Yarrowia lipolytica: one gene and its partner. The protein of the gene in region 2 purifies or fractionates together with the protein of the main gene of each other region. This does not show direct contact. Links are inferred from orthologs where the notes say so. Each region holds a gene or a part of one and is shown on either strand. Other genes may lie near its edges.

What was found. The genes of interacting proteins can lie anywhere in the genome.
Region 1: the proteins of YALI1_D04772g (region 2) and YALI1_B18811g purify together in Saccharomyces cerevisiae (affinity purification with mass spectrometry, with the first as the bait; 3 studies listed by BioGRID). This does not show direct contact. The link is inferred for Yarrowia lipolytica from reciprocal best matches to the Saccharomyces cerevisiae genes RPN10 and PRE6.

The regions. Positions count from the first base shown.
Region 1 is NC_090771.1:1,879,932-1,884,909, forward strand, and holds YALI1_B18811g (uncharacterized protein), read right to left. Parts: upstream 1,532-4,978; coding exon 1,497-1,531; intron 1,441-1,496; coding exon 1,421-1,440; intron 1,196-1,420; coding exon 501-1,195; downstream 1-500. Other genes in the region: YALI1_B18845g (uncharacterized protein), read right to left, coding at 2,040-4,649. UniProt on the Saccharomyces cerevisiae protein: The proteasome degrades poly-ubiquitinated proteins in the cytoplasm and in the nucleus. It is essential for the regulated turnover of proteins and for the removal of misfolded proteins.
Region 2 is NC_090773.1:474,074-482,006, forward strand, and holds YALI1_D04772g (uncharacterized protein), read right to left. Parts: upstream 4,095-7,933; coding exon 4,087-4,094; intron 4,038-4,086; coding exon 3,841-4,037; intron 3,796-3,840; coding exon 3,217-3,795; intron 3,153-3,216; coding exon 3,076-3,152; downstream 1-3,075. Other genes in the region: YALI1_D04725g (uncharacterized protein), read left to right, coding at 1-367; YALI1_D04789g (uncharacterized protein), read left to right, coding at 4,886-5,329; YALI1_D04814g (uncharacterized protein), read left to right, coding at 7,373-7,397, 7,441-7,933. UniProt on the Saccharomyces cerevisiae protein: Multiubiquitin binding protein.

The DNA of each region.
Region 1 (4,978 bases), on a different chromosome or scaffold from region 2:
GTTGGTGATGAGTTTAAATTTCACATTTCTGCACGCCGTCATACACCGATGGGTAATCACACGACAGTGATAGGAGGGGGAGGGGAGAGGATTGGAGGTAGGATTTAAGTGGAGTTGTTAAAACACCGGGTATGATTAACTGTTCTATATATTGATAACGTGTGTAATATCTCCTATTTCATGGGTGTGAAGTACTTGTACTTGTATCTCTTTGTGAGGAATGACAGAAGTTTAGTTAGACAATGGTTAGACAAATATGAGTGATGGTTTATACTTGTAATTATAGTAATCAGATCAACTGTTGAAGCTCCAAAAAAAGCAATCAATATAAACAGTGCAAGTATCGTAGATAATCCAATTACCCGTCTAAATCATTAGCAATGTATCATTATATAGTTGTTTCTACTGGTGCGCTCAACGCATCTTGTCGCAAATTAAAACATTTACATCATCATTAGGTCTATGACTACATCATCTGACTACATATACACCGGCACCCCCTAATCCCGGCTAGGCTTCTGTTTCTTGGCCTCTGCCTCCTTTTCTTCCTCAATCTCAGCAACGTACTCAGCAATGGTTTCCGTGCTCAGAACCTCGGTAGGGTTGTCGGCAGACAAGATGGCAATCTCAATGTTCTTGGCTCCGGTCTGGACAACCTCCAGCAGACTCTTGATAGCCAGCCGAATGGTGGCGGCTTTGTCCATATCCTCCTCGTAGTTCTTCTCCAGGAAATCTCGTACAGTCTTGGAGCTCTTACCGATGGCGTTGGCTTTCCACGCGTTGTAGATTCCAGAGGGCTCTGTCTGGTACAGCTTGGGCACCTTGTCGTTGGGGTCGAATCCAACAATCAGAGTAGAAATACCGAATGGTCGTACACCACCTGACTGGGTGTATCGCTGCTGAACACCAGCAATGTATCGGGAGATGTACTCGACGGAAACGGGGTCTTCAACTGTGAGTCGGTGAGACTGAGCCTCAACTCGGGCCTTGTCGACGAGGATTCGGGCGTCGGCGTTCAGACCGGCAAAGGCCAGAGACACATGAGTGTCCAACTTGCAGATCTTGGAGGGGGTGATTCGAGGGTCCTGGAGCTTGAGAGCAGACCGCTTCTCGCATCCCAGAATGACGACATCCTTGCCCTTGACACCGACGGCTGCGGTTCCTCTCTTAACAGCCTCCAAGGCGTACTCCACCTCTGTTGTTAGTATTGTCTCTTGCTGGTTGGGCGTTGGGGTGTCTGTCTATCGCCACCGTCCATCGCCATCCTTACAACAGATGCAAGAATCGCAATGGCAGTAGACGTGGACAGATCCAACGAAACCCAACTATCCTGTCGTACCGACGCTGACGTCGGGGCGAGATTGTGACTGTTGCCACCTCTGTGAACGTTAGTGCCACCTGGATGTCTTGTTCAACTTACGGAAAACGTGTCCGTCGGGACTGTGTTAGTAATCAATCGATAATTGTGTGTGGCACTTTCGTGTGCAAATACTCACCTGAATACTGAAAGTGCTCTGTCGTAGCCGCTCATTGTGATTTGTGTATGTGTGGTGAGGGACTGATGCTGAAGTGGTTGGTGGTGGCGAACTCAATGTGTGATGATACAGCCTGCATACTATTGATTACAGTAATAGTGGACATGATCGTCAACTAAGTTAGAGAGGCAAGGTTCAAGTGTTGGAAGCAGAAAATAGCCACCAGTTCACTTGTACTGTGGAGAGAGTATTCAAGAGAGTAAACAATAAAATGTTTATACTTATTAAAGCAATTCATCTCGGCAGGTCTCATTTATGTATTTAGGTGAATTGTGTAGTTCTGTTACATGGAGCTGTCTGTATACATTTCAGGCGACATTCAATCTCCATCACCTCAATAATTTACAAATAATTATACACTTCGGCTACTGTACACATACCAGTACAATTAATGAATTAATTAATGAATCTAAAGGAATCTAAAGGAATCTAAAGGAATCTAAAGGAATCTAAATAAGAAGCTGAAGGGTTAATAATGTAAGTGATTCACTCTCAAGTGGAATCCTACTTGAGAGTGAAGCTGGTGGTCAGAACAAAGTCTCGCGAACTGTGGCCTACGTAAACCTTGTACTCTCCTCGTTGGACCCGCCAGCTCTGAAGTTTGACATCCCAGACCGCGAGATCTCGCCATTGAACATCGTATAGAATTCCCTGCCGTTCTCCCACCTTGAGCTCGGACCGTTCGAATCCTCGAAGCTGTCTAGGAGCGGTTTTAAGATCGTCGTTATCCTGAGGGAAGGCAATGTACATCTGGGTGACCACTCCAGTATCATAGGGACCATAGTTAGACACGCTGTGGACAATGTAGACTGCAGAGAGCCACAGAGCAGGGTTGCCTCCGACAGCCCCGCCGTTAATGTTGGTACTGTTGGACTGCTCACTGGAGTACCCCTCAGGATAGGGATAATGGGTCTCGTTAGAGAAGATCTCCGAGGTATCGTTCAGGTATGGATAGACGTACTTGTTCAAAGGATCAATGTCACTGGGGAAGACGGACTCATTGGCGTGAGGAGTAAATGCGTTCTTAGGCTTGTTGGGGTTCGAAGGGGCAAAGGGAGTGGGCAAGAACTCAGGAATGCTAGGGAAAGCATACCGGGCTTCGAGATTCTCCACCGTAATGTTAGAGTAAGACAGACCGTAGCCAAATTCAAACCTAGGAGTCACCTGGTTCTCGTCGAACCGTTTGTAGTCCAAAAGAGTACCCTCAGTGAAATAGTCTTGAGGAAGGCCGTCTTCAGGGATCTTAGTAGTAAGAGGAATGTAGTCGGTGTCATTCTTGGCAATAGTGAAAGGGAGTTTTCCTGAAGGGGCGATGTCGCCGAAGAGAATAGAGGCTGCAGCTCTTCCTCCAAAGTCACCAGCGGGTCCAGTGAGAAGCACGGCAGTGACGTTTGGGTTGTCGATCCACTTTTCGAGGTTCACAGGGCCGACAGTGGTAACAACAACGATAGTGTTGGGGTTCTTAGATGCCACAGCCTTGACAACCTCGTCTCCATTGTGCCACAGCGTCAAGTTGTTTCGATCCCCAATGTTGCCGTCAACAATACCAGTACTCTCACCGGAGTCGGAAAGAACAAAGACGACACTGGCGTCGGCAGCAGCTGAAAGGATCTCAACGTTCGACAGGTTACCCCAAGATTGCGTAGTGCCTCCGATGGTGATGTTGTCCTTGGAGGCTCTCTCCTTAATGGCGTCGTAAGGAGATTGATAATCGGTAGGGTAGACGGAACCGGACCCCCATCCCTCAATAAGGGCGCCATCACTACACTGCATATTTTCTCCACAGACAGCTCCAAGTGGGCCGGTTTTAGAACCAATACCGAAAATGTTGAGGTTTCCAATATTGGTAGGGTTCAGAGGAAGAGTCTTCTTCTCATTCTTGAGAAGAACAAGCGCAGCGTTTGCTCCATCAAGAGCAGCCTTGGTAGTGTACTGGTCTCTCACATCAATATGTCGGTTAACAGTGACGTTTCCACCAGCCTTGGCTCCGTAGTACTTGTAGCTAGTAGTGTCGTTGGTCCAAGAGCTGAAGTTGGGGTCGGTCGGAGTAATTGAGAGATACAGTATGGGGGTAAGGATTCGGGTAACCATGTCGTCCACTCGGCTTTCATCAATGGTTCCATTCAGCACACTCCTGGTCAACTCGTATCCCATGAGCGGAACACCGTCCGCCCAGACAAGACCGTCTCCAGGCATGCTCATATCGAGACCAGCAAGAACAGACGCCACGCCACTTCGCTGGGCAAGCCAGTCGGACATGACAAAGCCCTGGAAACCCATTTCCTCCTTGAGCTTACCGTTCAGAATGTGGGCGTTTTGACAACCCTGAGAGCCATTGATCTGCTGATAGGAACACATGACAGATCCAACATTGGCTCGAACAGCATCAGCAAAGGGCCAAAGGTACGCTTCGTTAAGAGTTCGGTCGTCGATGTTTGAAGAGAGGGGCTGCTTCAGATCCTTGAATCCGAATCCCTGCCACTCGCCAAGTTGTCGAAAATGTTCCTGCTCGTTTCCAACCATATGCTTTACCACAGCCATGACGTTCTGGCCCTGTATACCTGTCACGGCCTCGGCGGCGAGCTTTCCAGCAAGGTAGGGGTCAGCAGAGAAGCCCTCCCAGATTCGACCTCCGTTAGCATGTCTTCCCAGTGGTCCAACCACAGGGCTGAGAGTGATATCCACTCCCTTGCGTCTATTCTCCCGTCCCATAGCAGCACCTCGCTCTCTAACCAGCTGTCGAGAGAAGGTAGAGGCAATAGTGATACCAGCAGGGAATGTGGTAATGAGGTCAGCAAATCGAATCCCAAGAGGGCCGTCTTGAAGGCACAGCGATTTTATACCCAGTCGTTCGACGGTACCAGTGTTTCCAACACAAGGACCCATCTCCCAGCCCGTACCGGTGGTGATGTTCACCTTCTCAAGCAGTGTCATGTTAGCGACCATACCCTGGGCCACCTTCAAGGCAGCTCTCCATCGCAGGTCGGTGGGAACTCTGCCAATCTCCGGAGCAGGGTAGTATGGAGGGCTGTGTTTGTAAGCGTCTTTATCTGAGAACGGGTCAGCAAGCGCTGCTGCGAGCAGCATCGTCAGCAGTAGGACGAATGCGAGCATTTTGAAAGTTATTCAGATGACTGTTAGAAGCGATGAGATGAGATATGCAAGACCTCTGTGTTTAATATACGATTTACAACCTCCAGTCTTCATTGTGCCGATACTTTGTTCCTGTCCTTTTGGGTCCCTCGCAGCCCATATTGCATATCGCCCAACTCAATGTCGCACAATACGGCGACTCGGAAACACTAACTCCGCCGTGGCCTTGGGATCAAAGAACGCTAAGCTCCTATAATATATCGCTCAAACCCTTTCAGCGGATCAGGGCGATGGTTGGTTCGGAGTTCTACTAAAGACTGGACCTGCTGTATTCCACAGTCTTGCGTGCA
Region 2 (7,933 bases):
AAGAGGCAGCGTTAGGATCGACGGGCTTGGTGGGGAAGCCGCAGAAGGCAAGAGGAGGCTCAAGGTACTTGCCGTAATCGTTCCACAGAGTGGAGCCACACTCCAGACAAGGGTCTCGGGCCTGCTCAAAGGGAGTGCCGTTGTCACACAGACAGTCTCTGTTCCAGGAGTCACCGTCGGCGCACTTTCGGGCATCCAGAATCATGTTACCACAAGTGGCATGGCACTGGTAGGTTGCGCCGTCCTGGGCAAAGGGGACGGCCACAGCCACGGCCGAGGAGGCCAGGCACAGGCTGAGGAGGGTTGTAGTAGACCACTTCATGTTAACGAGAGTAATAAACGAGTGTTTGAGGTTTGTGGTTTATGAGAGGGCCATTCAGGGAAAGCTGTCCTGTTTATATATTCCGCTCAACGGCCTCTTTTGAGCGGTACAGTTGCGTGGTTCGAGTTATCAATTCCATCAGAGTTTGCCCAGTTGCATACCACAACAAAGAGACGCACGGTCCAGACAAAGAAATTACCGATCAGATAATTTTGCAGCTGCATGGTTCTTGGCGAAAAAATGACTCGCAAGCAAGATTTTCAAAACGCCTCCAAATTAGTCTGTGCAGCCGATGCCAAGGTTATTTTGAGGAGAGCAGTGTCCTATCACAGGTCTGTGTAGAGCTGTATTCGCTTGTTCTTGTTGACTTCTCGTATTCAAATGGTTGGTACTGGCATGTGCTTTTGGATTTACTGGGCAGATTTTTTGAGATTATTGCCTCTATCCCTAATGAAGACGAAATAACGCCTCACTTTTTCATCCAAGCTAATTATACTGTACCTCTGGATATCATAAATTTGAACTATCGAAACAGTTGAGCTAGACCGGTGGACCAGGGTGTGCCGTACGAATGGGTGCCTGCCATGTAAACTACAAGTAGGATTGTTCCCGAAATGTTGCGACTACTCGTACTGGACGTGAGGGTCATGAACAGTAGAGCACCATTAAGCACAAGTGTAACTAGCTACACACCAACTAATGATTTTCTGTGGCCATTACCGACGGGGCTGTCTCTGCCTTTCCGGTAACCGGAAGAGACATTACTGTAGATGATAGACATGATCGACACTTATTGATATGCTACCAAACTTGGGGTGCCGTTCGTACAAACCGAGTGGTCTGACATCTTCTAGCCAAGGTCCCTGAGATTTGGCATTCCACTGTCTACAGTAGCTACCATGTAAGGGGTAAGTACGCCGTACTCATGCTGGAATTTCTACACACATTCCACACTGTTACCCTGGTCTTAAGGGTTGCTTCGTAAATCTACGCTTGCACCAAGGTTCGAAATTATCTGATGCGCTCCCGAGCGACCTAGAGTTCGTGTGCACAAATATAATCTGATGGGTTATCTGATGCGCCTACAGCCCATACGCAGATCCCGGCATTGATGATCACAGGAATTAGGGAGAGACGAAAGAGATGCTAACGTCGACAGACAACTGATAAGTTGGACCTCCCACAAGGCACAAAACAACACTATCCCTCAAGGGGCCATCAGGTCAACCTGTAGTTCCTTGTACACATTCCAGGATGAAACCTACTGAGTGTAGGTCTGAGACTACTAGCTTCCCACGCACTGTAATTCTAAGGTCTTGGCGTTTCTTTGTATCCAAAAGAGGCCCACGAACGGTCCTTTTACAGCCAGAGAGTTGGCAAAAGAAAAGCCTGGACCAATGACTGAAAGAAACGACTGTCTGGATTCCACGGAGACTTTCGCTGTTTGGTTGCCGTCGATTGACGTCACAGAAATAGCGATTCCAACTTTTGAACAAGTAGATGCTTAGGTGGCTGTCTTCCTTCAGCTGAAACGCGTCTAAGGATCTAGGCGTGCTTTCATGTAGCTTTGACTAATATATGTATTTTTTATAATTAGAGACGGTAAGCGACCCTGAAACCAATATAAGCGCTTCATGGCGGAGTCAATTGCCGAGCTCCATGATCTTTTGCTTGTTTTTATCAGTCACCTGTTGAGCCAGAGGTTGCTGTTTGGTACAGTATTGTATACACGAGCACTCGTAGAGCTACTGCACCATACTGTGTACTACTGTATTACATTATAGGCAGACATTGCTGTTGCACTAGTGTTGATACTCTGGAGAATGTAGTATAGTTATTTCAATTGTATCTACTGTACTGCCAGCTGACTGAGCATCGTGCAGTGTATCCAAGTGTTACCATCGGCTGTACTGTACTTGTACTGTAGGATGAACCATAGAGGACTTTGAAAGGGCAATAAAACCATAGTTCTAGCGTTGTATTGAACAACATCAATCTCGAGTGCACGACCTGACCAACATCTGTCACTCTCTCCGCTTTGGACCTTTGTTAGAACAATCCCTCTTCTGATCAATTAGTAGAAGAAATAGTCTCTGGGGATTCATATAAAAGATTCCAGCTATGGCACAAGAATGGAGACTTAATTAGTGAGTATAGAAAGCCATATTGTTAGTATGAATCACAATCCCCTCCCTCTTACTACTTGTACAAGTACAGATCAAAGCTCTGATCCTACTCTTGTGTACTGGTACTTGTAGTTGACAGAAGAGACAACAGCGGCATTTGGGCCCACCTCATGTTAATCCAAATAGCTCTTTCTATATGAAGATCTCAGGTCATCAATTGATCCGTCAAAGGCTATCCATTGATGTTCTTGGTGGTACGCATAACTACAATTTTCTTCTGATAGAGGACATTTCCTCCTCAAACACATGTTTAATGGATTCTACATACAATAACTCATATAAACCTCGGACAGAACTGGGAAGAGCATGATTATATTCCTGCCATCGAGAATCGCCAACGGTGTCAGCAGATAAGGTACAGCCCCGCATCCCTTAATGAGCAAGCTAATTATCCAATCCATCACAACCACGATAAAACAACCAGAGTAGCTCAGATACACAGCATCTACATGTTCACAGCTACACCACACCACCTCAATTCCCCTCGTGCTTGCACTCAGAGAACTTGCATTCATATATCATTGATTCCTACCTATCCTAGGGCTGCACTTCTAAGGTGCGTATGGATTAGTGCAGGGTGGACGAAGTCGATCTTGTGATTATAACACATGATCTGTGTCTACCAATTCCTTCGTCGCATCGCGCTCAGTCGCCCTAGTCGCCTCTCAATTGTGCTTCACATATTTCAAGCGTGCTTCGATTACGCACTCGTATCCATCTTGTCGTCATCCTTCTTGTCCTTACCCTTGTCCTCTCCACTTGCATCCTCATCTTCCTTCTTCACGTCCTCTTCCTTAACCGAATCCAGCTTCTCGGGCTGCTCCTTCTCCTTCTCCAGTCGGGCCTTTTCGTCCTCCAGCGACATTCGCAGCGCCAGAGCCAGCTCGGGATCCACGCTGGGGTCCACACCAAACTCAAAGTCCGCGTCGTTGGAGCCGCCAGGAGCGCCGCCCATGCCCGAAGTATCCATTCCGTCGTCGTCTTCCTTGATGATGGGAGAGTTGCGCAGAATGTCTGACAGCAGATGAGGGCCAGGGGGGATGGTGACCAGGTGAGAGTTGTCGCCTGAGTTGACGGCCTCGATGAACTTTTCCAGCTTCTCTGTGTTTTCGCCCTCCTCGCCGAAATTGACAAAGTCCACCGCCACGCTGTTCTTCTTCATCTTCTTGGCAAGCTTGACCAGTGCCTTGACGTCCTCCTCGACCGGCGATCCCACAAACACAATCACCCGTTGCCGCTGCAGCTTGTTGAGTCTGTGTTTGAGAGCCAGCGCGGCCACCTGAATGCCTGTGGTGAGGTGGGGAGCACCGGTGATATGAGTGTCGTGGATACCGGCCAGAATCTTGCCGTGGTCTGTGGTGAGGGTGGCAAGCACCTCAGGACCTCGGCCGCCCATGCTCATCAGACCCACTGCGCTCTCAGGGTTGCGGTTGGTCTTGATGGTGAAGAGCTGGTTGACACAGTCCACCTGGGCATCGAACCGGTTGGGGGTGTAGTCTCCGTTTCGCATGAACTCGGAGTTGTCCATTCTGTGTTAGCGGGGTGTGGATAACATCATTGGCCGTCGGTAATACTCACACTATCATTGTTGCTTCCAAAACCATCGTGATGCGCTTCTGTTGTGTCTTGTTGTGTGGTGTGTAGAGTGGTGATCTGTGGCAATGGTTATAGTGGTTGGGACAGAGTGCTGACGTCAGCGGTGATAGAGTTTGGACAGTAGGCGATTTGCCACCATATCAAGTGTGGCGGATTTGGGCTGGTGAGAGCGGAATTTGCACTATCTTTGGGGAAAAGTTGGATATATTAGTTACTTCTTTTAAAAACCCGATCGGAGTACTGGAAGTCGAGTTATGGGAGAGTATTGAGGGTAGCAATGCTCAACTGTTGCCCTAAACAATACTGAGTTTAATTAGTTAGCTTTAGTTGGAGACAGAATCTTCAAAAAAGTTGTCCTAGACTGGAGCAATTTGATATTTGAGAGTCATAGCTGCTGATTGTTTCCTATTTTGATTATGTTTTTTTTTATATCTTCTTACTCAACAGTCATCTGGACCACTTGTGGCGCATAGCAATGATGTCCCTATTGTCATATTGAGCTAATGGGACCATTATCATCAGATCTCCCTCGTAAAATGCGGTCGGTAAATACAATATAGAGACTTTGGTATATCAAAATGATTGTCTTTGTCAGCTTATTCTGATTGAGTCACTCGTTTCTCAATTTTTTGCTTCTTTCCAACGGAACCAATCTTCCACAAACCAAGCCCTTTCATCTTCTCACCTCATTTGCTGACTAATCAACATAAAGTTTTGATATTATAACCTTAATCATATATCCCAGCGTAACCGGGGCAACGTAGATAAACAGAGGATCGGCATGACAACTTCACCAGCACACAGCACTCAACACACATCACCGACATTTTCCACTTTCACTATGCCCACGGAAATGGACCAGTTTCCTAGCAACATGGCCCGCAAGCCGCTGACTGAGGTCCAGAAAAACGACCTCATTGAAAACCTACAGCTCGAACGTGAGTATAGGGACTCCATTCAGAGGGCACAACATACAAACAGACTCGGTATTAACACAGTCACCAACAGAATCGAGCGACTCAAGTCGCAATATCAATTTGCTGCGCAGGCGGTTCGCGCCAAAATTGAAATCAGAAAGACCCGCGTGCCCAAACGGTACTGGAACAAGACTTTACGGGAGGTCCAAGCTCTGCAGGATGGAGCCCTCAAGGACAGAAAGCCAAACAAGTTGAATTTCGGCCAGGGATTCCACAACATTCCCAAGTTCACAATTCCCCATGAGTGAGTGTGGTTAGGAAAGGTGGAGAAGGTGGAGTTTTATGCGGATTGTCATTATACCTGGTTTTTTCTGACTTTGTCTGATTATGAAGATGTCAAATCAGAAGAAATTGGGAATAAATAAATGGGAAAGTCACTCAAGAAGGAGGAAGTTGATACCTACAGTGCTTCTACAAGCGGTTGACATGATATTTACACGTCTAGAGTTTCTGACATGTCAGTTTGTATGTATCACTACTCAGCTGCACAATCTGTCTACAGGTACAGTATTTGTACATTCAGCCAGTGCTTCCTCTGAACTCAACTTGAGAAGTTGTTGTCTCCTCGTGACTTACGGCCATTCACTACATTAAATTAACTAACCCAGCATGACCACACCCATGGATTTGGACGCTCGGCTTAACACAAAGTCGCCAATTCGATCCCCTGGCAAGTCGCTGCGTTCACCAATGCGACCGGCCACCTCGTCTCCTGTCAAAGTCAGACCTACTACTAAGCCAGCAGTGGGCCGAACTGGATCTACAGCTACCCAGTCAACAGCGTCCGCTAGAGCCAAGATCGAAAAGCCAGAACCGAGGACACGTGCTACTAGAAGTACGGCATTGAAGGCCAGACAAGCGATTAAGAATACTAGCTAATTGGCAGAGTCAAAAATTGTCAGTATGAAGCCACTGACATATCGAATTTGTACGACAATAGACGGCATTCACGGCGGAGCTTTGAGTATATGTCCTAGATTGTGAATCAGGAGGCTACTCTTGCTCACCATTGACAGTAATCGAGCTTGATGCTGGATAGTCCCTTTTGATGAATTACATACAATGGCTGTAGACAGTCATTCAGGAAGACTCCGCGGCAGAAGCATTGTCTGTAGTCATCAACGGGAAGAAGAATTCTAACGAGACTGGGTACCAGGGGAATATATATGATGGAATGAATTATTAACAAGTAGAAGTTTAATGCAGTGCTGGGCTTCTAGTATCAACCAACAGAGGAGTCTTACGCCACGGTAGGGTGGATAGTAAGAATGTCCCTAGAAAGACAATGAGAAAATTGCCTGGTGATAGTTAAATACCAGAACCTCAATACATATGTGTCCAGTCATATTCATAGTCCGATTATTTATTCCCATTTACTTCAATCAGATTTGAGGGAATTCTTCTGCAAGCGTTTACTTATAGGTGCATTTGCAAACTCACAGAAAGATATTCTGACTTGAAAAACAAGTACAAGTACACTAAAATAAGAGCTACAAGTACAAGAGCCTTTTTCTCTCCCCCACATTTATCATACACTTTTCAATCTGCTTCATTATGGAATATTACCGCCCTTTCAAACCAGATTACATCACGTAAACAAATAATACTTAGCGTCTAACAAATTTACTTTAGATCACGTGACGTTTGTAGCTACAATCGCGGAGGTTAAAATAACCAGTTTTTCAGCAATTGCCTGGCTAGCTCAATCGGTAGAGCGTGAGACTCTTATTAGTAAGTAATCTCAAGGCTGTGGGTTCAAGCCCCACGTCGGGCTATTAACGCTACCATTTCCGATATAGTGTAGGGGCTATCACATCACGCTCTCATAATGAGAACCGTGGAGACCGGGGTTCGATTCCCCGTATCGGAGTTCAGAGTCTCTTGCGATTCTTTTTCTCCAGCTTTTTGCTCCAGCACTTTTTGCTCTAGTGTTGCTTGTCTGGTCGATTGCTATATTTTGCGTCAAGTTTCAATTTTTATTTTATTTATAATAACATAAAATTTAAGTTGTCAAGTAACAGTAACTTTACTTAGATTTGTCAAGTAAAATTTACATGGCAAGAGATACGACTCAATCTCTACTAAAAGCCCTCAGATCAGAGTGATATCTAAAAGCCTAGGATATATAACGTTTGTTGACATGATAATATCTCCTTGTACTTCATAGCTCACACAAATCACGTTATTTACAAGACACCCCTTATCCACTGACAAACTCAAAATATACACCTACATGCATATCATCAACCTTAGAGGCACTGGTAACACATTCGACAGGCATCTACAACAAGATGGAGGGTCTAGCTGTGGTTATAAGTGAGTATTTCCGGCGCACTTTTTTCTACCAACATTAACACAGCCCGGGTGCAGTCGACCAAGGTCAAGGAGCGAGAGGAGGGGCTCAAACAGCTCGAAAAAACGGTGAATCGGAATGATTTCGCCCAAAAGGCCACGGATAAAGACCTGAGCATGGTGATCCGGGGCGTGTGCGACAGTATATCACGTGATATCGCATCCTCCGCGGTGACAGGCAAGCGACACACGACTCAAATGTCGATTTTCAAGACGATAGCAAGGGGACATGGACGGTTCAAGGCTAGGAGTAGTCGCCAGTTCATTGTCTCGACAGTATGTGAACTCTTACTGGCCCGGCACAAAGACAGAGGCTCTCAGCTGATTGTGGCCAGTAATCTCCGTCTGGTTCTGAGCCACAAACCGCACCTGGAGCATCTGTTATGGGATCATTACAGACGCTCTGTTGCATGTCTCTGTCGTGAATTGAGCGCACTGTGTGTCAACAGTATGGAAGAGAGTGGTCTGGAAATGCTGATTCAGGAACTCTTACTGTGCCT